4 linked regions of the Canis lupus familiaris genome follow. The protein of the gene in region 3 interacts with the protein of the main gene of each other region in a biochemical or structural test. Links are inferred from orthologs where the notes say so. Each region holds a gene or a part of one and is shown on either strand. Other genes may lie near its edges. The genes, in order: RIPK1, RIPK2, BIRC3 and UBE2V1.

Evidence for each region.
Region 1: of the proteins of BIRC3 (region 3) and RIPK1, one has a biochemical effect on the other in vitro, tested with the Homo sapiens proteins (5 studies listed by BioGRID, with this or other methods). The link is inferred for Canis lupus familiaris from reciprocal best matches to the Homo sapiens genes BIRC3 and RIPK1.
Region 2: the proteins of BIRC3 (region 3) and RIPK2 form a complex in vitro, tested with the Homo sapiens proteins (2 studies listed by BioGRID, with this or other methods). The link is inferred for Canis lupus familiaris from reciprocal best matches to the Homo sapiens genes BIRC3 and RIPK2.
Region 4: the proteins of BIRC3 (region 3) and UBE2V1 form a complex in vitro, tested with the Homo sapiens proteins (2 studies listed by BioGRID). The link is inferred for Canis lupus familiaris from reciprocal best matches to the Homo sapiens genes BIRC3 and UBE2V1.

Annotation. Positions count from the first base shown.
Region 1 is NC_049256.1:4,664,666-4,672,545, reverse strand, and holds the start of RIPK1 (receptor-interacting serine/threonine-protein kinase 1), read right to left. Parts: upstream 3,984-7,880; 5' UTR 3,863-3,983; intron 2,894-3,862; 5' UTR 2,782-2,893; intron 2,347-2,781; 5' UTR 2,230-2,346; coding exon 2,118-2,229; intron 59-2,117; coding exon 1-58. UniProt on the Homo sapiens protein: Serine-threonine kinase which is a key regulator of TNF-mediated apoptosis, necroptosis and inflammatory pathways.
Region 2 is NC_049250.1:35,937,403-35,944,656, forward strand, and holds part of RIPK2 (receptor-interacting serine/threonine-protein kinase 2), read left to right. Parts: intron 1-3,116; coding exon 3,117-3,274; intron 3,275-3,954; coding exon 3,955-4,004; intron 4,005-4,921; coding exon 4,922-5,083; intron 5,084-7,254.
Region 3 is NC_049226.1:29,466,487-29,473,740, reverse strand, and holds the end of BIRC3 (baculoviral IAP repeat-containing protein 3), read left to right. Parts: intron 1-321; coding exon 322-370; intron 371-1,988; coding exon 1,989-2,231; intron 2,232-5,800; coding exon 5,801-6,055; intron 6,056-6,437; coding exon 6,438-6,479; intron 6,480-6,594; coding exon 6,595-6,788; 3' UTR 6,789-6,801; downstream 6,802-7,254. UniProt on the Homo sapiens protein: Multi-functional protein which regulates not only caspases and apoptosis, but also modulates inflammatory signaling and immunity, mitogenic kinase signaling and cell proliferation, as well as cell invasion and metastasis.
Region 4 is NC_049245.1:37,220,348-37,228,067, forward strand, and holds the start of UBE2V1 (ubiquitin-conjugating enzyme E2 variant 1), read right to left. Parts: upstream 5,292-7,720; 5' UTR 5,276-5,291; coding exon 5,254-5,275; intron 1-5,253. UniProt on the Homo sapiens protein: Has no ubiquitin ligase activity on its own. The UBE2V1-UBE2N heterodimer catalyzes the synthesis of non-canonical poly-ubiquitin chains that are linked through Lys-63.

The sequences.
Region 1 (7,880 bases), on a different chromosome or scaffold from region 3:
ACATCTGGCCTGTTCCCAGATTTAATGCACAGTATCAGCTGCTGTTCACAGATAGCATCTATAAGGCAAAGAATTTACGTTGATTTTTTCCTCAGGTCCTGCGTGTCTTAGGCAGGAAGGCAGCAGAACTTGGACAATCCTGCTGATCTCCTCTACCTAGGGTATGCTTTTAGGACGGGCGCCTCATCTGTTAGGGGCAGAAGGACCCTCTGACAAGGCACTGACATATTCTACTGCCCAGATGATCAAACGACATTTTAACCTCTGCAGAAGAAAGAAAGAATTCACAACAAAGTGGCCTCCTGGTAGAATAGAATATACAAATAAAAACAATGGCAGACTCCAGACTTTAATACAAAGGCGAACATGGAACAGCTTTTACCCGTAAAGAACTAAGTTTATTGAGAGGGACTTAAAATACAGATTGGTAATGGTTATTCAAAAATTAAGTACAAAGGTTTCTGCTAACACAACCATGATGAGAAGGTCAGAGAAGGCTTTGCTGCATCAAAAAAAAAAACTAGAAGGATTTATCGATAAATCAGGAAGGAGGACTCAGAGAACAGGATTCCAGGATAGGGGGGCAGGATATGAATAGCTTGGAAGTCTCCAAAATCGTGATGTATCCTAGAAATTATGCGTAGTTCTCAATAACTGGGCATATTGACTAAAGAAAGAGAGGTAAGGAATAAGGCTAGAGAAAGATGGAAAAGCCAGAGAGGGCCTTGTATTCCATGCTGAAGAATTTGAACTCTATACTGGAGGCCCAGGGAGCCTTGGAAAGATTATAAATAGATGAATCAGATGGTCATACTTGTCTATTAGGATGACCAGCCTGGCTGCAGGGTGAATGGGGAAATGAGCAGCCCTCAGTAGAAATACGGATGGTCTGAACTAGAGAGTCTGGTGGGGACAGAAGTGGGGGGATTCAAGATGGATCTTGAATCATATATATACCTTGAATTCATAGGTTTTGAATGGACAAAGCTGAGACCGGAATGCCTACAGTTTCTGGTTGGGCAACTGGTAAGTGGATGCTGATGCCATTTTCTGAACATGAGCAAAGCTGAGTGGACTACAAGGAGCACATGTAGAAGATGAATTTATTTGGGGGGATGTTGCTTTGGGGATCCTCTGGCATGTGTAATGGATCTAACAGATAAATGGATATCCAGGCCAGGGATAGAGATAAGAGATTTGAGAGGCCCTGGCAATGGGTGATCGATCATTAAACTGGGGGAGCTGATAATCACCCAAGAAAATAGAAATGGAAAATGTCCATTAATTTAGACATTTAACAAACTGAAGATGTGTGTATATATATATATGTATATATATACTTTTGTATCCATTCTCCTCCATGAACATGTATCTGTTCTCATCTTTTTTTTAAAAAAAAAAAATATTTTATTTATTTATTCATTCATTCGAGACACACAGAGAGAGAGAAAGAGAGAGAGAGAGACACAGGCAGAGGGAGAAGCAGGCTCCACGCAAGGAGCCCCATGTGGGACTCGATCCCAGGTCTCCAGGATCAGGCCCTGGGCCAAAGGTGGTGCTAAACCGCTGAGCCACCCGGGCTGCCCTGTTCTCATCTTTTTATTCTTGTATCTTGTATCTCCATGTATCTGTTCTCATCTTTTTATTCTTAATTCTGATTAAAGTACCCCTAGTAAGTACTAAAAAGAAAATTCTCAAGTGAAAGAGCAAGTGAATAATGAATCAAAGTATGAAGTATATGCCTCATAAGCAGAAGGAAGTAAGTTTTCCTGTCCAGGAAGAATCCTGGAATTTTACAGCACCTCCCAAATACAGACACATCATCATGGCTCCTATGTGTCCTGTGATCCCTGATTCCTAAACCGAGATTACTCATGCATTCAACATAATGGTACTGCACACCTACTGTGTTCCAGGCACTGTGAGATGAATACTGGGGAAATAGTGCTGAATAAATCAGATATGGTCCTAGCCCTCGTGTAGCTTGTGGTCTCGTGGGTAAGAAAGACCTTAAAACAACAAACAGTTGGAAATCCTAACTGCCTTCATTGAAGGCCAATATTTCACTCAGCAGTTTTGATTAATAGCCAGATCCCACTCCTCTATAAATGTCTTACTTTCATATGGCTCCTTATTAGCAAATATCGCCCAAAGTACTATGCCAAAGCTGTACACATCTGACTTCTCCGAGGGCTTGGCGTTGATGTCATTCAGATGCTCTGGGGCCATATAGCAGAGGGTTCCACCATTTTTCTTAGAGACACTATTCAATTTCCTCTGCTCATTAATTTCCTCTTTAGTCAGTTTACTCCACGTCTTAAAGGAAGCAACGCCAAGATCAGCTATCTGCAAGAGATCAAATCAACGTGATTGTTCTATGAGAGCCAGAGGCAAATTAGACTTGTCTTTAAATGTTGGGCTTAACTAATAGATGCAAGGTATAGTGAATTTCCAGAAATTTCCACTAGATAGATTTAAAACAGCTACTTCTGAACAAGTTCATAGAAACTTTGTTTCCTCAGCTATCTGGAAAATGTCCCTAAGATGTGTCCATGTGAAATTCTGGTATTTGAATTCTTATGCAATAAAACCATGTAATTTGCTAGGGGAAGGGGAGGGAAAAGAAAAGCAGAAGTCATTTCTGACATGAACTACAGCAGAACGTGTTTATTCTAATTCCTCATTTACTCTGCATACTTTTTTTTCAACTATTTCTGGGGCTAGGAAGAAAAGGGGTCTTCTCAGCAGATGTGTATAGCACATGGGGACTAGATACCGCACCTTCAATTTTCCCAAATGGTGTCCCGAAGCCCATGGATGCGAGATTCTAAGAACTCCAAAGTCCTGAGGATACAGACTGCTGTGCTACTTGTTTTGAGTTGGTAGCCTGAACCTGAGAGAAGATGGGATAGGAAGAAGGAGAAAAACCAACAAGGAAACCAAAAGAAAAATACAAAGGTCAGACACAGAACAAAGAGAGAGGTGGCAGGGCAATGATAGAACAGGGAAGGATAGAACAATACAGTTAAGAAGAAATCAGAGGGAACAGTTTCACTTTTGCCTCTAGGAATCCAAGCATTTGGGTAGATCATGTGGTGATCTAAAATCCCCCGATTTTAACCTAAGAGATACATAAGAAATAAGTGATTTAATGTTAAAGAGGGAAACTTCCTTTTAAAGTTATAGGAATAAGAATCTGTCCAAGACTAGAAGGAAGCATTAGAAGCAGAATCTCATAGTGGAGGGACTCTGAGTCAGCAGCTCCTGCGCTCCCCACCATTGCTGCTTCCCCTTTCAGATTCTCGTGCTTGGATTCCTGCTGCCAAAACCAATTAGATGTGATGTTCCACCTACTTAAATCTGCTCTTGGGTGAACAAAAGGAAAATCCCCTCCCCTTGTTCCCTTTACTACAATGGAATAAATTATAGTTAAAAAAAAAACTGATAAAAAACGTAGATAACATTAATAAAAAAATAAATAATATGAACTCCATCGAGTCCGTATCTTTCTTGTGAATCCTTGGCACCACCGTTCACCAGTTCTAAGCTGAGCGAGGTCTTCCTTTAGTGTTTATCACATACAAAAATGGGTTTATAGCAGAGAATTAAAACTAAAACCCCCCTGGGGCACCTGAGTAGCTTAGTCGGTTAAGCATCTGCCTTTTGGCTCAGGTTATGATCCCAGGACCATCTCAGGTTAAACCCTGCATCAGGCTCCCTGCTCAGGGCGGGAATCTGCTCTTTGCTGCTATCTCTGTTGCTATCTTTGTCTCTGTCTCTCTCTCTTTCACAAATAAACAAAATCTTTAAGAAAAAAACAAAACCACCCCAATCTTCTAGAAACTTTCAGATTCTGATTTACCTTAATGTGAAAGTCATCATCGACAAGGATGTTTTCAGGCTTTAGGTCCTTGTGTATTACGCCTTCTCCATGGAGGTAGCACATCCCTTCAATGGTCTCCATAATTATCCTTCCTTTTACAGAAAGGGGGATACTGACCTAAAACAAGGGACATTAAGTCTATGACATGGAAAGGTAAGTCAAACAGGCCAAAGCAACTGTTTTATTCAAGGTTGTGGGGTCTGAACCTGTGGATATCCAGATCCTCCTCGACATACAATGGAGTTGTGTTATGTCCTAATAAACACATCACAAGTTGACAGTATTATGAGTTGAAAATGTGTTTAATACACCTAACCTACCAAACGCCATAGCTTAGCCCAACCTACCTTTAATCTGCTTAGAGCGCTTACATTAGCCTTAGTTGGGCAAAATCATCTAACACAAAGCCTATTTTATAATAAAATGTTGAATATCTCAAGTAACTGACTGATAGTGAACAGCAAGTGAAAAACAGAATGGCTGTGTAACAGAATGGTCGCGAGCATGTTGGCTGTCTACCTTGTGATCACACAGCTGGCCGGGAGCTGTGGTTCCGCTCAGCGGCTGCTGCCCCAGTATCATGAGAGAGGACTATAATGCATATCATTAGCCCAGGAAGAGACCCAAATTCAAAATTCAAAGAATGGTTTCCACTGAATGCCCATGGCTTTTGACCATTGTAAAGTGAAAAAGTCGTAAGTCGAACCATAAGTTGGGGACCATCTGTAGTCACCAGGATTCCTTCTACTATGCTTTGCAGCACAGCTATCATTTTAAAAGAAGCCTCCTTTTAAAGAAAGATTTCATCCCATGTGCTAAGGGTATTACTATTGTGTTCTGTCCTGTAAAACTAAAACTTCCACGCTAATATGGAAATATGTTAAAATGCTATAAAGTTAAGCTCTTTGAGCGCAGAACACGATGATGATGGCGATGATTATAATATACATCCTTACTTACTACCTAGCATGGTGCCTAGAATTGTTGTTGAATGAAGGCATAAAGAAATAAACAAAAAACCAATTATTTTTTACAGTCCATTAGTATATGCTACTATATATTAAATAGACGAACAATGTCACAGAAACGTGTGTATGAAATCATACGAGAAAAGACAATATGAAAGAAATGTGCTGATTACACTGATTACAAACATTTAAGATGAACCTATGAGGTAACATGATGTTAAAACAAGGCTGAAGTGCAGTGGCACTGCTGGGGATTTACCCCAAAGATAGAGATGCAGTGAAATGTCAAGACACCTGCACCCCAATGTTTATAGCAGCAAAGTCCGCGATAGCCAAACTGTGGAAGGAGCCTCGGTGTTCATCGAAAGATGATGGATAGAGAAGCTGTGGTCTATGTACACAATGGAATATTTCTCAGCCATTAGAAACGACAAATACCCACCATTTCCTTCAACATGGATGGAACTGGAGGGGATTATGCTGAGTGATAAGTCAATTGGAGAAGGACAAACATTCTATGGTCTCATTCATTTGGGGAACAGAAAAAAATAGTGAAAGGGATTATAGGGGAAAGGAGGGGAACTGAGTGGGAAAAATTAAAAGAGGGAGACAGACCATGAGAGACTCCTAACTCTGGGAAACAAACAGGGGGTAGTGGAAGGGGAGGTGAGCAGGGGGTGGGGGTGAATGGGTGACGGGCACTGAGGGGGGCACTTGATGGGATAAGCACTGAGTGTTATATGTTGGGAAACTGAATTTAAATCTTAAAAAGAAAAAAAAAAAAAAACATAAACGAGACCTGATACCACGTTCACTAGGAAACAAAAAACAAAACAATGCTGAAGTGAATAGCTGCTTGATAATTTCATATCAGATACTTCAGCAAGTCTTTGTAAATTCAGAAGTCACTTACTTACAATTGTATTCTAGTTATATAAATATTAATGCTATTACAGAGAATTCCAAAACATTAATTTTACTTAACACCGAAAAACGTAAACTGTATGTGTGCGTGTGTGTGTGTGTGCATGCATGCATGCATACAGTCCCTACAAATGGGCTGTTCTCTAAAAATTTACTTATATGTTGGTTGTTGGTAAACTGGACAAAAATTTAAATGATGGAAGTTAGAGTCCAAGTCAACCCTCTAAACCATATTTAAAACCCATAATGTGGCTGATTTGGCAGCCTGATCGCCACCACCCAAAAAACAGCAGGAGATTTTCCCTCCTTCCTTGGTATACACCTTTGGACTTGGGAAAACATTCGGAGTAAGCAAAGAAAATCCCCTTCTCATTTTCCTTTCTGCTCTTTTCCCTGACATCCTCCTGGATTCTTCTGGAGCCCAAACTAGTCCACTTATCTCTGCGTCTGGCAGGATGCCTCAACGCCTACTACAAGCAGCAGCTGGTCTAACCTGGTTTTGGGGAGAAGAGCAATCACATCCAACCACAACACAACGTGCATAAGCCACACTCTTAGCCTTCCCACCGGTGCCTGTGAGAGCTGCCCAGGGCTTCGAGGAATCGAAGAAGGGACAGAACCTTGGGCAGTTGTAGGGCTGGGGAGAAGGTGGGGAAAGGGGGGTATCTGCCCTGCAGACAGCCAATCCCACCAGGCCCACACGCCCTCCATGCTCGGGCCAAGTCCAGTTCTTGACGGTGTTCCAAAATTGCTGTATTCTCTGTCCTTCGCCGTCCTCCCGCCAGGAACACGTGCTCCCTAACTGCGCCTGTCCTTCAGGCTTTGGCTCAGGAACCGTCCTTCTGGAATCCCTCCTTATCCACCCCACACTGAAGTGAGTACCTGTCCTCGGTGTCCCCACGGTTGGGGGATGTACCTGTCCTCGGTGTCCCCATGACTGGGGGGATGTACCTGTCCTCAGTGTCCCCACGGCTGGGGGGACGTACCTGTCCTCGGTGTCCCCAAGCTGGGGGGATGTACCTGTCCTCGGTGTCCCCACGGCTGGGGGGGATGTACCTGTCCTCGGTGTCCCCACGGCTGGGGGGGATGTACCTGTCCTCGGTGTCCCCATGGCTGGGGGGATATACCTGTCCTCGGTGTCCCCACGGCTGGGGGACGTACCTGTCCTCGGTGTCCCCATGGCTGGGGGGATATACCTGTCCTTGGTGTCCCCACGGCTGGGGGACGTACCTGTCCTCGGTATCCCCACGGCTGGGGGGATGTACCTGTCCTCCATGTCCCCACGGCTGGGGGGACGTACCTGTCCTCGGTGTCCCTACGGCTGGGGGGACGTACCTGTCCTCGGTGTCCCCATGGCTGGGGGGACGTACCTGTTCTCGGTGTCCCCACGGCTGGGAGGATGCCTGTGGAAACGCCACCAGGCCACATGGTTTTCCTCCTTATCTGTGCCGCGGGCGGGTCTGTGTCATACTTGCTGTGGGCTCCGGAGCAACCAGCACAAAGCCTCGCCCCTAATAGCTAGACAGACGCTAAAAGGTGCTTTACTAAGGGGAGGGGGTTTTCAGAATCGGTTTCTATGTCCTTATTTCAAGCCTTCCTTACCCAGCCTTCTGGCCGCTAATGCATTAACACTTAGGCTCCAGCGGCATCGGAGAGCAAGCATCACAGGAGCGCACGGCGACCTGCGGTGTGTCCTTCCACGACCCGGGGGCAGAGGCCTTCCAGCCAACGGGCCCGGGGAGATGGGCTGTCCCCGGCCCCGAGGATGCAGGGAGCTGACCAAAGGCAGCTGCGACCGGCCCATGGGGGGCACGGGGCGGTGGGGGGGAGGTGCGGCCAGGCCCGGGGGGGACAGCAGGCTGCGGAGTGCACTTACCTCCGCCTTGAGAACGTGCATCAGGTTGCCCTTCTCCATGTACTCCATCACCAGGGAGTAGTTCCCTTCCTCGAGAATGACACCCAGGAGCTTCACCACCCGCCTGTGCCGCAGCCTGTGCATCATCCTGCCCTCCTCCAGGAGGGACTCGTTGTACCTGCGGGACGGAAGGTGGCCCGTGTCCCTTGAGGCCCGAGGACGCGGGACACGCGGCCATCGCAGCCCACGC
Region 2 (7,254 bases), on a different chromosome or scaffold from region 3:
ATATGTATAAAATAACCTGAGATTTGCACTTTTTAAAGCCTTTCAATGTCCTTGGACTTTACTTTCTTCATCTCAGTCTGGAAACTATATTTAATAGAGAAAACAAAAGCAAAGTAATAAATAGGGAATGATTCCTACTTTCTTCTTTTCACTGATCAGCAGGATGTCCTTGGTCTTTCTTTAATATGAATAGAATTTAGAATAGTTTGACTTTGTTTAGTTTTTATAATTTTTATTACTCTCAGTACGTACAGAACTGTGAACTTTGTAATACTATTCCTATAAATTAGCGGCATTCTTTTACATGCAATTTACGTGTCTCTACTTGTTACTTTATAAATGTCCCTTTAAAAGTCAAAGTTCATCACTGACTCATGGAAAAGTAGCAGTTACTTAATCTACCCATCTTCTTCTTTAAATGAATTGCAAAATATCTTTAAAAATATTAATGAAGTTATGGGCAGCCCAGGTGGCTCAGCGGTTTAGCGGCTGCCTTCAGCTCAGGACCTGATCCTGGAGACTCTGGATCTAGTCCCACGTCAGGCTCCCTGCATGGAGCCTGCTTCTCCCTCTGCCTGGGTCTCTGCCTCTCTCTCTTTCTGTCTCTCTCATGAAAAAATAAATAAAATCTTTAAAAAAATAAATAAATAAAAATACTTAATGAAATTAAATGGAAATTGACACCTTGCTATCATTTTCTGAAGTAAGTTTTCTCACTGGAATGTTGACCAGAAACGTTATCTGAAAGAAAAATATTTACTCCTGATTAAGGTCAACTGATACTTTTCTGCTTTAAAAAGAATACATTGTTTGATTATCTGCCAAGTGTCCATTAGTGTACCTTAGATACAAATGAACCAGTGATAGACTTCTTTGAAATGAAAATATTTATATATGCCATATTTGGTTTCTCTGCTCTTCTGTTGGTCCTAAGTGGAAACCAGAATACTTCAGAGTTATTCTTCATAACTTCTTACTGATAATAACTTTATAGTGTTGTAGATGTGGATAGTGTATGTAAATAAAAATAGCTATTCTAATAGGGTGCTAGGATTGTGGATGATTTTTATGAGTAGTGTGTTTTAATTTCCTCTAATCTTTAAAATCATCTTTTTATTTAAAAAGAAAGCCTTTAGCTTCAAAATGCATGTTAAGATCTTGTGTAGGTAGAATGGGTAAGTTCTTATTCTCTGTCGTCATGGCTGAAGGATAAATTTATCAAGACCTTAAGAAATCTTAGAACTCTTATTCCTTCCCTCACATTATTCATTTTTTTCCTTCTGTTTGAAGATCCAAATTTAATGAGTCATGCCTTTCATAATAATAATATTCATAATGATATTTGTAATAAAGGGGAAAAGTGGAGTTCTACATGAAAGCCAAACTAAATCAGCTCATAGAGAGAGAATTCTGATTAAGGTTTTTAGGTCAGGTTTGAAAACAAAGATGAAAATCTTGGGTGAAGGAGCACATAAGGAAGCAAGCTCAGGAATACAGTTTCCACAACGCTGTGTTCAAGCCGACATTTAGCCCAGGAATTTGCAAATTATGGTTCAGGTATAAGGTGAGACCACATCTCAGATTTTTTTTTTTAGCATTTTTTCACTTGCGGCATAAAAATAAACTCTACTTATCATAGTAATGCATATTATTCTAGCAACTGTAGTGCTGATTTTGATTTTAGAGGGTAGGTGGGAAGAACAGATTAAATTGAGTAAGAGCAACCTATATACAAAACATTAATAATGTTAACACATGAGGATCACTTATTATGTGATACTACTATTCTGAGTGCTTTGCTTAGAACAAGTTGTTTAATTTTCTCACTACAACCCTGCAGTGTAGATGGTGTTATCATCCCCAGTTTGCAGATGGATAACCTGAAGCACAGAAAAATTTAAAAACTTGCTCAAGTTGCGCACAGTTAATTAAGCGGTAGAATTGGAATATAAATGTAAATAATCTAGGTTCTAGAACTCATGTTCTTAGCCACATGGTATATTGCTTTTCAGAATCAATCCAGCTCTTCATGTATGTATTGGCACCGTGTTTTCTCTTGGTCTTTCCTATTTTTTTCCTTAGACTTCCCTTTTATTTTAATAATATATGAAAAAATTCATATAGTCTATCTCTTCTCTTTGGCGTGGGGCCATAATATTTTTTTATTATCAAAATCATCTAAACACTAAGCAAATTTTCTTCTACTAAAACTAGCAGAAAAATATAAGGGCCAAATAATTGAAACACAAACGGTATGCCGGATAGAGTTCATTTCCCTCTGTTTACCCTAACTTGTGCAACGTGAAGGTCTAAGTAATTTAAATTTAATGTTTTTAAGGATTTACTATACCCTTTTGTCTTTTAAACACTGTTTCTGTTCTCATATTCTGTCTTCGATTAAAAAAAAAAAAAAACAAGGAACCTATTTAAAAGGTTAGAGAGTTATAAGATGTTGTGTGACATCTGCACAAAATTTATAAGTGAAGCAAAACTATAGAGGATATATCAAAAGTATAAAATGTCACCAATAATTCCTTAAGCAATCCTTGCCATAGACATAAATATGCTTTATATGATTCTTTTAGGGGCAAACATAAATCATGTAATAATGACCTCTGCTATATTAGAATTTTACTTACCTCAGAATTTAAGGTTACTATTTTCAGGACATCGTAAATAAGAACATATAAACCTGAGTTGCAAACAATGCCCAGGGGCACTCATATTAGATACCAGTAGTTTAGCAGCTCTGTGAAGTGTAGCAGCATATGCCGCAAAACTACTTGTCTTAAAAAGTAGTATTTGGTATATATGCTCATTCAGAATTTAAGACAAAAAATATTGCTGTTTTTTTAAAACTCAGCCTCCATTTTAAAATTTGTGATATTATGCTGAACTTCAGGTCAGTATGTATTACTTCTAGAGTTACTTGGGCTCAGTACTCAAGAATTTAATTTATTAAGAAACTGATACAATATGTAGAAATAAAACATTAATATAGAACTTTTTCTCTGCTCTCATACCTGAATACAATGAATACAAACAGAGTCAGTTCTTGGTTTTTTTAAAGAAAAAAAAAAGGTTTAAATTCAATTATTTACTCTTTTCCCTTACAGATCGCAGATTTTGGTTTATCAAAATGGCGTACGATGTCCCTCTCACAATCACGAACTAGTAAATCTTCACCAGAAGGAGGGACAATTATCTATATGCCACCTGAGAACTATGAACCTGGACAAAAATCAAGGGCCAGTGTCAAGCATGATATATATAGGTATAATATATTACTTTGGCTTGTCTAAAAACAATATTAATCAGAATTTTGAAGCTGAATTTTAAAGTGTGATTTTTAGTCTATGTCTCATAAGTGTGATAAAAATAGAGGCCACAGTGGTTAATATTTTTCAAATTAAATTTTTTTCAGTGATGTAAAAGTAGCTGAAAGGAAGGCATCTTTAAAGTGTATCTTGTCCTGTCAATTTATAATATAGTACTAAAAGGTTTTTTTCTTATTTGACATGGAGGGAGGAGGGAGGGAAACTGTGGTTAACAGTTAACACTACCAAGGAGACAGTACTTAGACCAGAAAAAAAAAAGTCAATAGACTAGAGCTACATGAGGCCATCTTTTTTTTATTGCTTTTTATTTTGTGTGAATAATAGAATTGTGTAGAGGTCATTAAAGAATCATCCCATTATCCTTGTCTAGAACTTCAAATTTTTATTACAGTAATTTGCTAATTTTTCAAATTGGATTAATTCCCTTTTAAAACAAAACTGTATGTAAATATTCATCATCTTGGTTGTCTATGGTGATTCTTTATATAGCATTTCACTACCTTATCACTTGCAAAAATGATATCTCCACAGTCAACTTTTAAAATCAGTGCTGTTTTAGTTTATTATGCATCGTCAGTTTATAATGTCTTGTATGTAATATTTTTATCTTAAACAGCTATGCAGTGATCACATGGGAAGTCTTATCCAGAAAACAGCCTTTTGAAGGTAAGTGTACTTTCATATCCTCATTCTAGATGACTTCATGTTGGTAGGCCGCATCCAGTACTATATAAATAAAGCCTATCTTATTTCAAATTTGCCTACCATTCACTTTTTGGAAAACACGCTATGAAAACAATTTATCAATTCTGAATCCACTGTATATTGGAAAATTATACTGAATTAAGGGTCAGAAATACGTAGAGTCTAGTACTTGTTCTGACGGTACTTACCTCTGTGATCAAGCCACTAAATCTCTTGGGTCTTCATTGTTTTATTTGCAAAATGAAAATTTTGAACTTTTATTTTTAAGATTCATTCAGGCTCTAAAACTCTTAATTAGAAAATTTAGTTAGTGCTTCTTCCATAACAGCCAGCAAACATTGAAGAAGAATTTTTAAGTTTTCTGATAACATTGTCCATTTCTTTATTTTGAGGATTATATGGGTCAGCTTGCTGTGTAACAACCTTAGAATCTTAGTAGCTTACAAAATAAATATATATTTCTCATTCACAGTAGGTGTGAGTGGCCACTCTTGGCTATGCGAGGTTCCACTCATTTCTACTAAGGTCTTTTCTATTCATAGCCCATTGACCAAATCAGAAATATGACCAAGCTTAAAATTAATTAGGTGAGGTGAGGCTATAAATATATATATATATATATATAGAGAGAGAGAGAGAGAGAGAGATAACTCTCTCTTAAAATCTTAGGGGCAATGCATTACTCCTAAGATTTTAAGTTTCCCTCATTTTCATTTGGTTGACTTTATTTTTTTTTTATTTTTTATTTTTTTTGTTTTGTTTTTTTTTTTTGTTTTTTTTTTGTTTTTTTTTTTCATTTGGTTGACTTTAGAATATATTTAAGTAATATATTGAATCATAATATATTTCTAATGAATGAAATATATTTGTTTTGACAGAAGTCACCAATCCTTTGCAGATCATGTATAGTGTATCACAAGGACATCGACCAAACACTAATGAAGAAAGTTTGCCACTTGATATACCTCATCGAGCACTTATGATCTCTCTAATAGAAAGTGGATGGGCACAAAATCCAGATGAAAGACCATCTTTCTTAAGTGAGTATACAGTTTTATTCAGGACCTTTTGAATTAAAAAAAAATAGTGAATATACTATGAATAAGATATTTCTTGAAAAATTACACAAGTTAGATGGCAAGCTTAAAGTTCCTTTTTTTAAAAATTCAGTTGCTGTTTTTATTTTATGAGATGAGATTGGAGAGATAAGGAGAGCCAGGATAGCCATCATAAAAAGATTAGAAATTTATTCCAACTACAATGGATCATTGTTAAAGTGTGTTTTATATGGAAGTGACATGACCTAATTTAAGTTTTGGAGAGATCACTCTTGTTGGTATGTGGAAAATTGACTTAAGGGCAGGAGTGGAAGCAGAGACCAGGTAAGAGACTTTCACAATTTACTAACTAAGGTGGTAATCCTAGATAGAAAAATTAGATAGAATTAAGATTTATTTCAGAGGTAAAACGGATCATCATCTAAATGTAAACCTAGGTGAAAGTTTTTATGACCTTATGTTAAGCAAAGAGCTCTTATGTATGACATCAGAAATAAGATCCATGAAAAAAATAGAATTGGGCATTAAAAAAAAACTGAAAATTTTTGTACTTCAAAAGATGATATTAAGAAAAAGTGAAAAGATGAGACGCCTGGGTGGCTCAGGGTGTGATTCCGGGGTCCTGGGATCGAGTCCCACATCAGGATCCACGCAGAGAGCCTCCTTTTCCCTCTGCCTATGTCTCTGCCTCTCTCTGCGTCTCTCGTGAATAAACAAATAAAATCTTTAAAAAAGAAAAAAGTGAAAAGATAAGCCACAGACTGGGAATCCTCTTTCTAACTGAAAAAGCAGTGAAATATATTTTTCATTCAAAATCTGTGTCCAGCGCACATCAGTACTATGTTTAAAAACTGAAAAGTTGCTTGTAAATGGATTCAAGTTTTATTTATTTCCCAGAGCTACGTGGGAGGGTTTATATCTCCTTTGCCCCAGTGCCACTTCCAGATACTCCTTTTCTTTTCCATTCTCTAAAAATCCTAGCTCCTTTGCAAAACCATACCGTTAGGCAGGACCTCTCTACAGACTTCCTGGTTTTTCCCTGTTGTCCTTTAAAGACTTTTGGCTGCCTGATTCACCCTGCATTGATCAGCACTGCTGAATACTTACAGGAGCCTTCTGCACGTGGCAGAGCTCTCTCTCTGTTCCTCTCCTCTCTCTCTGTCTGCTTTGGTCTACCCAGACTCTCAGCCCCATCTCTTTAATCAAGTTTCCACTCAAGTGAGAAGTGAAGCCTCGCCTCACTTCCCTCTTAAGCTGCAGCTAGAAACTCTCTCAGCACAGAAAGCTTGTGAAATCATAAGGCTCACCTGATTTGTGTCCTGTCTCTCAGTGATCGCTGTCCTTTGTTGCCTGGTATCTAGGATCTTGAAACCCATTGTGTCATGTTGTTTTGGTTTTTTTCTAGCTTTTTTAATTGTTTTAGGCAGAGTGGCAGATAAAACCCTGTTGCTCCATCTTGGCCAGAAGTGGGAGTTATTTATTGGTTTTCTCTTTAAAGTAATGGTCAGGGCAGTGGCTCAGTGGGTTAAGTGTTATAAGCATCTGCCTTCGGCTCAGGTCACGATCCTGGGGTCCTGGAATCAGGTCATGATCCCCGGGTCCTGGGATCAAGCCCAGCATGTCGGGCTCCCTGCTCAGTGAGGAGTCTGCTTCTCCTCCTTCCCCTCCTCTTCCTCATGCATGTTCTCTTTCTCTCAAATAAACTCTTTAAAATCTACTGATTGCCAAAACTGAACACTAAACACTACTTAAAAATTCTGTAATGCTTGGGCAGCCCCGGTGACTCAGCGGTTTAGCGCTGCCTTCAGCCCAGGGCGTGATCCTGGAGACCCGGGATCGGGTCCCACGTCGGGTTCCCAGCATGGAGCCTGCTTCTCCCTCTGCCTGTGTCTCTGCCCCTCTCTCTCTCTCTGTGCCTCTCATGAATACATAAATAAAATCTTAAAAAAAAAATTCTGTAATGCTTCTCAAACACATCTACTACTCCATTCTCACAGATCAGCTGTTCTAAAGGTGTGGTACAAGGACCCCTGGGGTTGTTGGTTTCTGAGACTTTGAGAAGAAGTCACAAAATCAGAACTGTTTTCAAAATAATAAATATTGGGACGCCTGGGTGGCTAGCGGTTGAGCGTCTGCCTTCGGCTCAGGGTGTG
Region 3 (7,254 bases):
TAGAGGGTACAACTTATTCCAAAGGATGACCCAGGAAATGTAAGATGTTTGGGATGAAAGGCAAACCATAATTGTCTCATAGATTACTGAGAAGATATAGCCCTTTTCTTGCCTTCACGAATATAGATTCTATGAAGTATAGTTTATGGTGTAGAGAATAACTGTTGAATATAAACAAAATACTGCTTTCAAGATAAAAAATCATTTTGCCTGTAAGCAAGTCAGTCTGCAATAAATTGAATAAAATAGATTTCTTGACTCATGTACATTGTAATGGACAGGCTGAGACTTATATTTTAATTTACAATTTTTTTCCTGTAGTTGTTATCTACCTCAGACAACACAGAGGATGAAAATACTGAGTCACCAAGTAAGTATAATGACAATAATTACTGCATTTAAATAGAACCATTGTTACTCTGGAGATGGAAAGCTGATAATGGTCATATTATTGTACCATATGACACTCTATACTTTATAATGCACTCTCACATTCATTAAGTTTGTATTTCTCACACTTTAGTGCTCATGATAATTGCCTAAGGAATCAGATTTCTGGTCTCCACTTTAAAGCTATCATATTGAGCCATGGCATCTAAGGGTGGGATTTGAGTATGTCTTTTTAACAGACCACATGCATCCAGCCTCACACTCATTTTCAGACCTTGTGGGAACACAGGTAGTCTGACATTAGCTCGCTCACATATTATTTCTATAAAATGAAGATAGTAGAAAATATTATTCTTATTCCTCAAGAGGGACCCTGAAGCTCAGATAGGTTAAATGACCTGTCTTTTTAGGCTAAACCTAAAAGGTGATTGAGCCAATATTTGAACAGGCTGTTCTACTCTATTATCTAGTGTTTAATTCAATTCAATAAATATTTATTGTGTGCCTGCTATTCTGAGGAAAGTACACAGAACAGAGTAAATATAACTCCTGCTCTTGTGAGCCAACAGTCCAGGGGATTCAGACAAGTACACAGGTAGGAGAGAGGGGTATGGAAAAGTAAAGCATGGTGTGCTGTGGGAATGCATGAAGGACCGTGCACCCGGACTTTGGAACATGAGAAAAGGCTTTCCAGAGGAGGTATTCGTCTTAGCACAGAAAACCTGGGAAGGGTAGGGGTTAGCCAGATGACAGAGGAATATTTGTCAAAATATTTGTCAAAAGAACATTCTAGACAGAGAGAACAGCCTATGAAAGTCTTAAGTGACAAAAAAGAACAGGCACATTTGAAGAACTGAACAAAATTCTGTATGACCAGAGGTGGGATTTGTGAACAGGCAAGCGAAGGAAGCAGAGTTCTTTGAATGATCAATGCTGCACAGGCAGAGTCTGACCCAAGAGCCATCAGTTTGTGACTTCTGGGCTCGAGCATAGCATGTGAAGGAGAAAGTGGTAGGAGATGAGGCTGAAGAGGTGAGTGTGCAGATCTTGTGCCAGATCTTGTGCCAGATCGTGTGCGGTCTTATGAGCCACAGTCAAACGTTCGTGAGGACAATGGAACTGTTGCTGAGATTTCAGAAGGAGTGCTACACAGTTGGATTTGTGTTTGTGAAAAGCCACTCTGGTGGCATTGCTGAGAAGGAATGAGACAGGAGAGGGCATGGTAGGAGGCCCCGCAGTGATGGCATGAGTGAGGACAGTGGCCTCTCTGAAAAATATGTGACACGTGCTTGATTTAGAAAGCTCATTTGTTCATTCATCATAGGGAGAAAAGAATGCTGAGTGGATGGTGATATCCAACCTTCTGTTCCTTTCTCCCACTCATAGTTATGCCTGGTAATGCATATTTTCTATCATAATACGCTATTCCATATTCTTATTTAGTGACTGAACATGTACATTGTTATTTTAAATTTAACAAAGTTAGTATAAAACAATGCCTATATGTTCTGGGCTTTATGTTTTTGAAATGTAATAACTTTCAATTCAAAAGATATACAGACTCTCCCAACATGTGGAAAATCCCTTATTCCATGTAGTTGTCCATTTTGGACCTGGAGAATACCATTCAGAGGATGCAGTCATGATGAACACCCCGGTGGTGATGGCCGCCTTGGAGATGGGCTTCAGTAGGAGCCTGGTGAGGCAGACTGTGCAGAGTAAGATCCTGAGCACTGGAGAGAATTACAGAACGGTTAATGAGATCGTGTCTGACCTACTCCACGTGGAAGATGAAATAAGGGAGGAGGAGAAAGAAAGAGCAGCTGAGAACAGAGAATCAGGTACATATCCGCATTGATTGGTGTCTGTCTCTGTGTGGATATGATGCCACCATGTGTAAGTCACTAAAAGTATACTCCTTGTCAGGGCAATCAAGTTTTATGTTTAGTGTTTTCAATTTGAATTCTGGAATTTTTTTTTTTACATTACACTGTATTTGAATTGCTCATTAGTCAGTGGAAAATGTATGTATTGAGTGAAAGCATTTTCTTAATTTATATTTTTACTCTAAGTTGTTGACTGCATATGTAATCAAGGCTTGTTTGTGATCCCAGGCTCACTCTCCTTTGCTGCAAATCAGGGTGGGATCAAGGACAATTATTTTAATATTAGCATCACAGAGTGTCTCAGCCCAATGACATTATTATTTTTTTAAAGATTTTTATTTATTTATTCATGAGAGATGGAGAGAGAGGCAGAGACATAGACAGAGGGAGAAGCTGGCTTCCTGCGAGGATCCCAGTGTGGGACTCGATCCCAGGACCTGGGATCACGACCTGAGCCGAAGGGAGATGCTCAACCACTGAGCTACCCAGGTGCTCCCCCAATGACATTATTATAGCATTAATAACACATGTTAATGTACAAATTATGATTATGTTTCCTGCCAGCCAATATAAGAACTGAGGGAGTCCTTCTGTTCTTGAGGGGAGGGTGAGGACACTGTTGCACATTCTCTCAAGACAAGGTAGCCATGTCCCTCCATGCTAGCCTTGTCTGCCATTATATGGCCTTTGCTCTGTGGCCCTTCACAAAGACTCTCTTCCTCCAGGCATATCCATCCCCATCTGGTCACTCTGAATGCTGTCGTTACTCTGGCCTAGACAAACAGAAATGCTCCTCTCTCCTTTGCTGCTCTTTGACAAGCATGAACCAGATCCATAAGTCTTTTCAATATAGTTTAAAGCAAACTGCAACTTTTCAGAAGCTCCTACTAGAGATTTGGGAATAACAGCAGAGTGTTTACATCATGGACGACAGTCGACAACTCTAGCTGTTTGGGTCTCTCTTAGTCCCCTTAAAGGCATCCTCGAGAATCTCTCTGCCTAGCATCTGTTCTGGTTCATCGCTATATAGCTCTGACCATTTTACACAAATGACTAGGCTAGTCCCAAGCATGTTTTCTCTTAGGAGAGCTCACTCCCCCAAATACCCCCAAAGCCCAGAACGGGCAGAGAGTTTGCCCCTTAACTTTGTCCAGTGCCATCTGGGATCTATTTCTGCCAAAGATGATTGGCAGATCATCAACTCCAGGTTTGGATAAGCCTACTCCTTAGGTGGATTTGTCTTCTGGCCAATCTGGACAAACAGATCCTGCCTTTACCAAAGTGTGACTTGTTCAATTCTGCAAACCACCAACACGAACAGCAACGGAGCCCAAGCTCATCTTTGTGTATCCTTGCAGTGGTCTTCTCCATCTTAGTTGTTGGTCATCATCCCTGGAAGAAGAAAATACCCACCTCTACAATTGTTTGAAGACCCTATGAAGTCTAAAGCCATCCAGCTATAAAACATTTGTATTTCTTTCTTTTTTATAAAAAGATTTTATTTATTTGAGAGAGAGAGAACATGAGTGGTGGGGAGGGACAGAGGGAGAAGCAGACTCCCTGCTCAGCAGGGAGCTTGACTTGGGACTGGATCCCAGGACTTTGAGATCATGACCTGAATCAAAGACAGACACTTAACCAACTGAGCCACCCAGGCACCTCAAAACACTTGTATTTCTTTCAAAGAAAATCAACGGTCTGCAATCAACAATACAATAATTTGCATCATCAAAAAGATCTTGTAGCATCTGCACTCTCTGTTATGTCTACACTGTCCAGCACACAGTCTGCACATAGTCTGTGCTCAAGAAATATTGCTTTAATGAATAAACGAAAATATTTCATTGAGATTACTGATGACTTTATAGTTTTCCCAAGAACAGCGGGTAAATAATTTCTTGACAGGTGTGTAAATAAAGAGGCAGTTTAGGATTTCATTTCCAGAGCAAAAGAATAATATGCTTCAAAGGTATATTCAAGTCTTTACCTCTTATAAGCCAGAATAGTCTATGACTTTGAAATGAGTCTTTTTTGCTCAACCACTAGCAATACGACTTTAGAAATCTTAAGGATTTCAGATAACTTATTACAATAGTCTAAGTAAAATGTAATTACCATCCAACTATTGATTTCGACTCAGGTCATGATCTCAGGGTCCTGGTATTGAGCCCCACATTGGACTTTGTGTTCAGAGGGGAATCTGCTTCTTCCTCTGCCCCTCCCCCGACCTCCCTTTTCTTGCTCTCTCTCTCTCTCTCTAATAAATAAATAAATCTTTTTAAAAAAGAAATCTTGGATGGAAAAATGAATATACATCAACATCAAGTGTAAATTATATGTTAATTTTCTGGTATATCAGTATTTCTCTATTAGATGATTTCACCAAATGTATTAGGTTCTAATTCTTAACCCCTCTGGCCATGACCTCTCTATTCCTTCTGCTCCTTACATTACTATGGCTCATTTGATCGACAGCTATTTATGGAGCAGGTACTTTATGTAGATACCACCTAGGCCCTTTTCCTTTTCCCATTTACTGCCAGAGCTCTAGTTATCTTCAAAATGTGTATCTTTGACCTTGACTATTTTACTAAGCGGTATTTTTTTTTTATTTTTTATTGAATGGTTCTGTTTTTATCTCCTATTACTTGACAGAGTCAGTGTTTCGAAAATCTAACATCATCTTCCCCCAGATAATTCTTTTTTTAGACAGCCACACTTCTGTCATTAATTATTTCATAGAAAGAGCCTTAAGGATCATGGTAAAATTGTGTAATAATGAATAAACTTAGATTCATAAGTTAAAGTCCAAGGAGATAATAAAATTGCAGAGTTTCAAAATATAAAATATTTTACCAACAAATACAAAATCTGGATCTCAGCGACAAATACAATGATCCTATGGACAGAAAGTTATCACCTGACAAGTAGGATTTAATCTTTAACATGCTGTTGGTGCCTTTCCCCACTTATTATAAAAAATTTGGGTAATGGCAATATCCAGTCTAATATGAGAAATAGTTAAAATGTCATCTTAAAATGGGAATTTTGAAGAAATTTTTACAGGTGGATGATAATTGAAGAAATACACTTTGTGTCCTTTTTAATCTCTTGATTTTATCTTTCCGCAAGTTGACTAGATTGAATTGGAATTTTAGTTTGATCAGACTCTGATTTTGACTTGGTTAAAGGTTGAGCAGTTGTTCAGAATGTCTGAGGACACAGCCTGTGACACCAGACTGCCTCCGTTTGTGTGTCCTTGCGCAGTTCCCTTGCCTCACAAGCCTGTTTCCTCCTCTGCTAAGTGGGGGCCCTGGAACCCCCCTCTGTGGCTGCTGGGAGCATGGAATGAAGGGACACATGACAGACAGGGTGCTCATCCTGGAACCCCTGGACCTAGCATCCCCTGCGGTGCCCAATGGATCATGAATTTTGAGGGTTTTCCATTCAGTTATGTGTATATGTGGAAGGAAGCCTTTGAGCAGAGTTGAAACGTGTTCATGCTTGTTTTCTTTTTTATAAAGATGATGTATCATTAATCCGGAAGAACAAAATGGTGCTTTTCCAACATTTGACTTACGTGCTCCCAATCCTGGACAGTCTCCTAATGGCCGGGGTGCTTAATGAGCAAGAACACAGTTCTATTAAACAGAAGGCACGAACATCTTTACAAGCAAGAGAGCTGATCGATACCGTGTTAGTAAAGGGAAGTTCTGCAGTCACCATATTTAAAAACTCTCTGCAAGAAATTGACCCCATGTTATACAAGCGTTTCTTTGGTGAGTGTTTTGCAATTAGTTTGGGGAACTTTCTAGGTCAATTGAAAATATGCTCTTAATGTGACAAGCGAGGGTGGTGCATGGAAACTGAATCACGACACTGTACACCTGACACTGATATTACACTGTATGCTAAGTCACTGGAACTTAAAATTCAATTCAATTCAACTAAAAAATATGCTCTTAATAATTCTTTATTATGAAAATAATAAATACTGAAAATAATTCGATCTAAAAGATGAAAGAGTTCTGTTGCATTGACATGATGATGGTCATTTATAGCATTTGGCTAGAGTCTAAACTATTAGTTTAAAAAATATATTTTGTGACTCAATATTAGCCTTACTTGTTATTAGTAATGTTTTTTGTTTTACTCCCTTAGTACAACAGGATAGAAAGTATATTCCCACGGAAGACATCTCAGGTAAAATAGCATTGATAATTTAAACCAGTACAAATTATTGGTTTTATTTTCTTGGCTTTTCATTGGAGAAGCAGCAGTAAGTTGCCTCTCCTTAACCATTCTTTTCTCTTGTTAGATTTGCCAGTGGAAGAGCAATTGAGGAGACTACAAGAAGAAAGAACGTGTAAAGTGTGCATGGACAAAGAAGTGTCCATCGTGTTCATTCCTTGTGGTCACCTGGTGGTGTGCAGAGACTGTGCCCCGTCCCTAAGAAAATGTCCTATTTGTAGAGGCACAGTCAGGGGCACAGTTCGTACATTTCTTTCCTGAAAAGACCCAAGACTTTGTCTAATTTAGAAAGAGTGGATTAAATGTATTATAATTTTGACCTCTGGAATGGTTGGTTTCCTTAAGATTTTTAAATCTATTTTGCAACTCAGAACTGTTTTATATAAATATATAGCTAAAACATATGAGCCATATGTATGTTAGAATGATAGGCTTTTGTTCACGTGGGAAAAGACAGAGCACTACAAGCATGATACTGAATCAGAATTTCAACACTACTGAAATCGTAAGTGAAGTTTAAATTTTTGAATTAAGCTTTCAGAATTTTAAATATTTTGGAGTCCTATGAAGAAACAGGAGCACAGATTGTTTGCCTTTCTTGATCAGTGTCCTATATGTAGTAGGTCTTGATATTTGTTGGATGACTTTTTAGGGACTTGGTGGTTTTGCAAAGAATTCTGTGAAGAACATTTTAATAAAGCCATCAAAATTACTCTTGGTCTTAAAC
Region 4 (7,720 bases), on a different chromosome or scaffold from region 3:
TTGTGATGGGTGGACAATAAGGAAAGGACCCTGAGAGCGGCAACTATCCACCCATAAAAGAACCCTAATTGGCCAAGTTGGAAATGTGTCAACAGACCTGCCAGGGGCTGAAGAAATGTGAGATGCCTAGCTGGAGAGAAGGCAATGGGGGCTGGATGATAATGTGGCCAAGAGCACATGCCCTGGAGCAGAACGGTACCAGGTTCTGTACCCTAGCTTTGCAAGTCACTGGATCTGTGCCCATTTCTCACCTTCAAGACAGTTACCAGTTTCAGAGGACTATGGTGAGGAGATCATTTAATTTGACTGAATTTAATACAACGTCTAGTACACAGCAGACCCTAGAAATGGACTTCAAAAATTAGTCTGGGGGTGCCTGGGTGGCTCAGTTGACTGGGTGTCCAACTCTGGATTTCAGCTCAGGTCATGATCTCAGGGTTGTGAGATCAAGCCTGTGTCAGGCTCCGCTCTGGGCATGGAGGCTGCTTAGGATTCTTTCTCTCCCTCTAACCCTCCCTACCTTCTTAAAAAAAAAAAAAAAAAAAAAAGGTCTGAAGCCCTTGCGTGTAAATGAAAGCAAGGCCCTACTTTGTAAATGATATGAGGGGCTCCAAGTCCGGTGAGCAGAATATAAGGTATAAGAAAGAGCTTCCTTAAAAATGGACATCATACTCATTGGACAGCAGATTACCCAGAATGGGACAAACAGTGGCCAGGGCTGCTGTAAGTCCCTGCTACAGCTGTCAGATCCTTCTCATTAAAGCCCGTTCTCTCACCAAGATTAAACACTCCAAGACCCAGGAAGAGAACACGCCAAAAATGCATGCCTTTCCATTTCTTTCCTATGGTACTGGAGCAGGTTGGAGAGGGAGGTGGAGCCAAACCCCCTGGGCTCTAGTCTGAGTGCCATCACTCAGCCACCCTTTTCCCTCAGTAATGCTGTGGGGACAAAATTTTCTCTGGTTAGTTCATGCGGTTGTGGAGTGTTGGATGAGATGACATAACAGGTAAGTCAAATTACCTGGAAACTCCAAAGTGTTTTTTTTGTTTTTGTTTTATTTATTTATTTATTTATTTATTTATTTATTTATTTATTTATTATTTATTTATTTATGATAGTCACACACACACACACACACACACACACACAGAGAGAGAAGCACAGACATAGGCAGAGGGAGAAGCAGGCTCCATGCAGGGAGCCCAACGTGGGATTCGATCCCGGGTCTCCAGGATCGCGCCCTGGGCCAAAGGCAGGCGCCAAACCGCTGCGCCACCCAGGGATCCCTCCAAAGTGTTTTAGAGTGTTACATGTTTACTTCACCAAATGTACTGCTCTGTACTTCACTGGGGCCTTTTGGAATTAAACAGAGGATTCCTGACTTCATATTCTGTATTTCGTTTTTATCAAAGCACTGTAGCTACAATCCAGGTGAGAGACAAGGGGAGGGAGAAAGAGAATGTGGTAGAGTGAAAAGTATGGTTTGAAAGTTACCATGAAGGGGAAAATCATAACCATCAAAATTAACCTTGGGACACCCTGAACAGAGTAATAGGTTGTACTGGACCAACCATCACCGGAGCAGAGTGCTCCAGCTGAGCACTAAGTATCACAAGGCAGTTCTCTTGAACACAGGGCCCACGTTGTATAAAAGGCAGCTGGCTACAATCAGCACAAGATACTTACACAGTGAGACATACAGGAACAAGATCAACTTCACAGACTACAGGTTCTCATATCCCATCATCAGCTCTCTGGGAACACCCATGAATGGAATGGAAGACTACTTAACCTCCACTGCCCATATGGGTAAAGTTGCATACGCCGAGTGTGTAGAGGAGGCCACTCTAGTGAATGCAAATTTAAAATTAGGCCCAGCCAGGGCTTATTCTTCTGGCACTCAGGTTTCTGGTTAACAGTCAGGGAAGACTGTAGGATGCTGGGTGAAAGGAAGGGCCTGCCAACCAAGGGCTTGCGATTCTGCAATCCTGGCCAAGGCAGGAGGAAGTCACCTGTCACAGCACTGGCATCTTGAGGGATTCTCATAGGCTCCTCACAGTACCATGCTCTAGGATCTATGCAGAATTCATGCACTGCAGAACCACGGGAGGTGGCAAGGTGTTGCAGCAAAGTGTAGAAAGCACTGATCATAAAAAAAAAAAAAAAAAAAAAAAAAAAAAACCCTCCCCCCACCCAAAAAAAACAAAACCACCACCACCACCAAAAAACGAAGGCCAGGCCTTTACAGGAACTTGAACTCAAAGACTTCAGGGCTGTTTCCTGGCAACTAGGGGCATAGATTAATCAAGTGGCTTCTTCTAAACCTGACTAAGGAAGGCCTCAAGGTCCCTGAACAACCTGAAAGACTTCTCATGGTTAGAAAGCAGAGGCCTGAACATTCATTTTTATTTAACCCAATTATGGCCCTTCTGCTTCCACTCTCAGCACTCTGTACTCCTTCACTGCATAGAGGCACAGGTCAGATCCTGTCAATCCTCTCTTTTTCTTAAAGTGGGCTCCCTGCCCAATGTGGGGCTCAAACTCACAGCCCTGAGTTTGAATGTCACATGCTCTAACAACTGAGTCAGCCAGGCACCCTGTCATTAAGACTCATCCATTCAATGAGTATTTACCTAATGCTACTTCATATTGGCCACTTTGAGGGCTTCCCTTCACACTTAATAAAACCTAAAGCCATATCTGCCCAACTTATTTCCTTAACAAGCCTCTTGTGCACACTATGGCCTTTTACCTGTTCTTTCAACAGACCGGGCTTGGTCCTGCCACAAGACCTTTGCACTCACTGTCTCTACCTCTCTTGCCTATGATATACACTGCAGGGTTGGCTCCTTCCATCATTTACATCAGTTCAAATGCCATCGTCTCAGAGAAGCCTTCCCTGATACTACTTTTATCACTCTGTATCACATCACACAATTTCCTTCATAGCACTGCTATCTGAAATTGGCTTAATTATTTAGTCCTTGAATGGCTTTCCTCCTGACTAGAATGTAAGCTCCTCAAGGACAGGGGCTATGTCTATCTTGTCCACTATTCACAGTGGGACATAACAGGCCCTCAGTAAATGTGTGTTGAATAAACAAAGGACTTTTCGGAAGCCCACTATTTAGAGCACCTTAAAGCCTGTTCTATGCTATCTACACCATGCCAAGTGCTTTTGACACTAGACAGGAGTTGACGATGTTTTATCTGACTGCATTAGCATTTATGAAGCACTCATCAATTGGCAGGGCTTCAAGAAGTTAGAATTAAGTAGCTGTTAAACCAGATTGTAGGTAGCCAATCTCAAGTGACTGCAAACTGGGCTGAGCTGCAATATGACCATAATGCTGGCTGCCACAGTTACACTGTAGCCCCCACTTCACAGCAACCTGACAGGGGTGCTATTATGGTGAGAAGTTTCTCACAGCAGTCTGGCCTGACTCAGCCTCTCTCTTCTGTGGCAGTATCTTTAAAAAAAAAAAAAAAAAAAAAGAGTTGACTCAGCACTATTCCAGCTAAAAATCAAAATCTAGGAAAAGGATATGTGGTCTCCTCTATGCTTCATCGGGGACCCCACTGCTCTAAGTATAAAAGGCAGCTTGTGATAGGTCATTTCAGTCTGATCCCCTAGAGCCAATTCTCTCTATTGCTACAGTAACAGACAAGGATGGTTTCTTGGGGGTACTAGAGGAGCAACACCCTGGAAAGAGGGACTCCCTTCACCCTGTTTCCTTTAGGTCACCAAGCCTCTCTTAACAGTGCTGATGCTGTGGCCTTAACTAACCAGAGGATTTGAGTACCCAGGCTCGTGGCCCTGCTTGCTTCCCTCATCATCACCCTCTCTGTGAGGACCTCCTTGGCCAACATCCCTGGTACCTCAGAGTACAGCTCTCTCGCCATAGGGGGACATTCAGTCTTCCCCCAAATCCTGCACTTCCAAAATCTTTCTTGCCTCATCAACCCCTCTGGGGGACCTCCCCCAGCCAATCTTTACCCCTCCTCCTCGAGAAAGCCATCTGAGTCCATCCCCTGAGGTCCATTTGTAGAACGTTAACTCTGAAACAGACCCTTCAGGATTTGATCCTCCGGCCCATCCTAGGAGTGCAGAACAAGGAATCGAGTCTCAGAATAAATGCTGCCTCCCTCAAACCACAAGGCACTGGATGAACCTCCCTCTCTCAAAGTACAGCTCCCTTTATTTCCTCTTCTGCTTCATGGAGATGGGGGTTTGTCCAGCTTTCCTGCCCCAAAGTCATCCAGAGTCTTCGTTTGTCCCTCTCCCCATGCCCATCCACTAAATGGGGAACCTCTGAGCTGAACCCACGTATCTTTTACCAACATCCAAAGGAGTGCTAGGGAGTGACAATGGCCACAAAACAGACACTTCTAGAGGACGCTTCTCCCCCCCCCCCCCAAAAAAAAAGAAAGAAAGAAAAAAATCTCTGAAACAGGACTTTTTTCCTCACTCTCACCCACTGCATGGAGCTTCCTTCAGTTGATCCTCCTCAAGTAAAAGCCTGATGATGACGGGATCATATCCCTTTGGAACCTGAGAGATCGTTTTTCCCTTCTCACTTGTCCCGTTGGGATGCGCTTTGATACCCCTTCCCCCAGAAAAGCCACCTCAAGACGCCCCCTTCCCGACCAACACGGAGATTTCCTCAGCTGACCCCATCCCCCAAACTAACGCTGAAGCCGTCCCCTCAACCAATGCAGGATCCTCGGTCACCCCCCGAGACCCCGTTTTCTCCTCCCGTCCTCCCTAAGGGCTTTTCTCAAGTCCCTGCCACACGGACATCCCGGGGCTGCCCCGTCGCTCGGACCTCCAGCACCCAGTAAAGGACTCTCATCCGTTTCGGGGAGCCTTCTCATCCCCTAGGAGACCTCCTGGTCCCCGCCGAGCCGCCAGCCTCCGTCTCCTCAGGAATGCCTCGGGGCTCGCCCCTCGCTAGCTCCGGCCGCTCAGCGGTGCCTTGGGGCCGGTCCTTCCTCTCAGCCGGGCCCTCACGTCGCCCGGGGGAGCCTGTGGGCCCCGCCGCGCCGCCCACAGGCCCCTCAGGCCCCCGCCCGTGCTTCCGGCCACCGCCTGCTCCTCCTCCCCCCTCAGGCCGCCCGGCTCGCCACCGCGGAGCCAAGCGGACAGAGGTAACGCAGAGGCCCTGGTCCCGCCGCAGGGACCTTTGCGGGTCCTCGGTCCCCGGCCCAAGCCCGCGCCCCCTTGGCCAGCCGGGCCCGGCGCCCCAGCTCACCCGAGCCCGTGGTGGCTGCCATCTTGCGTCGCTGTCGCTCGAAGGCCGGCCCCTTCTTCACCCCCCGCCCGTCCCCGGGCCGTTCTGCGCAAGCGTGCGCGCCTGCGCAGACGCCGCTGCTGACGCCCGCTCCGCGGACCGCGCGACCCGTTGCCGGGAAGGTTTTTTTTTTTTTTTTTTTTTTCCCTGCCTTTTCAGAGGAAGGAAACATGATGTGCGTGCGGGAGGGCCCGGCAACCTGCATGTTCCTCCAGGCTCGGGTGCGAAGGAGATACTGAGGTGTTTGGTGAGAAAGGCAAGGGTGATCAGACTTGGGAGGACGCGATTGTGGAAGATACAGAAGAAAGCTAAAAAAGAAAAAAAGAAAAGAAAGCCTATTTTACTTCGTGCATTTCCTTGTCTAGTTGGATCCTCACAATATCTCTACCAGGTCGGGATTAATGTGAAAAATGAAACTGAGGGGCAGGTTCAGCGATTTATCTAAACTTAGCGGTTAGGTGGCTGAATCAGAATTTGAAACCCGGCCAGAGTCCTGGGCCAGAGAAGCTTTGTTTTGGGGCATTAAGGTGTCAAGGAAAGCATTCCACTCATTCATTCATTCATTCATTCATTCATCCATTTATTCATCCAAAGAAATACTTAACTAAGACCTACTATGTGCCAGGCGCTGTGCTAGGTCCTGGGAATGGATATACATCCCTGAAGTCTGTTCTTACAGGCTTACATTCTAGTCAGAGAGCTAGTTAACAAAGAAATAGGAAAAGATATAACTATGATAGGATAGAGATTGAACCTAGGAAGGGGCAGCAGGGGGTGGTCGGGGAGGGCCTCCTAAGGTGGTTACATTCAGCAGAGACTGATTAAGAGGTAGAGGGAACAGCATGTGCAAAGGTCCTATGGACACATATTTGCAAATGTATGTTAAATCCAAGAAGGGATTGATCTTTTATTATAAGCGGTCTAAGAAGTCCTGATGTGGATTTAGAAACAAGCTGAGAGAGGTGAAGGGACTGCCTCAAGGTCACACAGCTAAACACTGGCAGAAGAAGGACAAGGACTTCCAGTACAGAGGAGCAAGGAAACCGGAAGCCCTTATCCAGGACATCCCGTGCATTACCTTGTTTTGACAGTAGTGCCTCCTAAGCATTTCTCAGCTCCATCTATTTCATCCACTTAGGGTAGGCTGCCCTTGTCTTCCACCTGGGTGACCCCAGTAGCCTTTATTCTTGCCCCCATGATCCATTCTCTGTATGGCAGCCAAAATTTGCTCAAAATACCTTTCAGTTAAATCTTTCAGTGGCTCTCCATTTCCTTGTGATAAAATACAGATTCTACAAGTTGCATGAATTCTCATCCAACAAAGACAATCATCAGATGAAAAGGAGACCTAGTATTATCTGGCCAGAACAACAGAACTCTTCAGGGCAAACCACCGTGGATGGCTACCCTAACCAAAGGCCATGCGCCTAGGGTCCAGTGAGACCAGTGAGACCACTGAGACCAGTGAGACCACTGAGGTGTCTAGGACTTACACTCAAGCCTCATTTAAGGAGACTTTTAACCTTAGGTCTCAGCTCTGCACTTGCATGATCCTGCAAGTGAATACTTTCCTAAAATTTGCACCCTGGGTACCTCTCACCCTCATCCTTGGCACAGCCGGTACCTCTGAGACTTGCCTGTACCTCTCTGCAGTACATGTCCCCTCCCTACTCAGGGCTTTTGCCTGTGCTGTTCCCACTCTTCAGTTCTCAGATCCAGCATCACCCCCTCAGGGAAGCTTTCCCTGATTTCTCCAGGTCCAGTTCAGCTATAATTGACTCTTAAAGCCCCATGTGTGTCTCCTTCAAAGCACTGGCAATAGGGAATCGACTTGATAGTCTGTGTATCACGTGATTCAAATTTATCTTGAAAAATACAGAAAATATTTGCCCTGGACTTTGGGTTGTTATAAAGCCTCAAGTAGCAAGTGGGAAGCATTTGGTCTCCTAAAGTGAACTCACCTCTGAAGTGAAATTTTCTGGATTCCAGTGCTCCTTCACCTACTCTTTGCTGTGTGACTTCAGGCAAGAGATTTGAATCTCTCTTGGCATCAATCCCCTCCTTCTGAAAAGAGGAATGATGGTATCAACCTCATAGAGTTGCTGGAGAGATAAAATGCTTTGATAAAACCTTCTAGCACACAGGGAGGAGGAGACACTACAACAGCTGATATTTGCCAAGCCTTCATATCCAGTTTTTATTCATCACAACAGCTGGATGCAGCAAATTCTAGGGATAACCGCACGGTAAGGATGAGAAAGACTCAGAGCTAACAGGTGGAGGAGTGAGGATGGAAACACAAGCCAACTTATCCACGATGCTCCTAAACGTTTGCTCGCATAGATTCCTTGGTTCTCGTAGGGAATTTCTGGCAAGCAAAACTGACAGTAAAGCAAATTCCTGTGCAGAGGACCTCGCAGGAGAATAG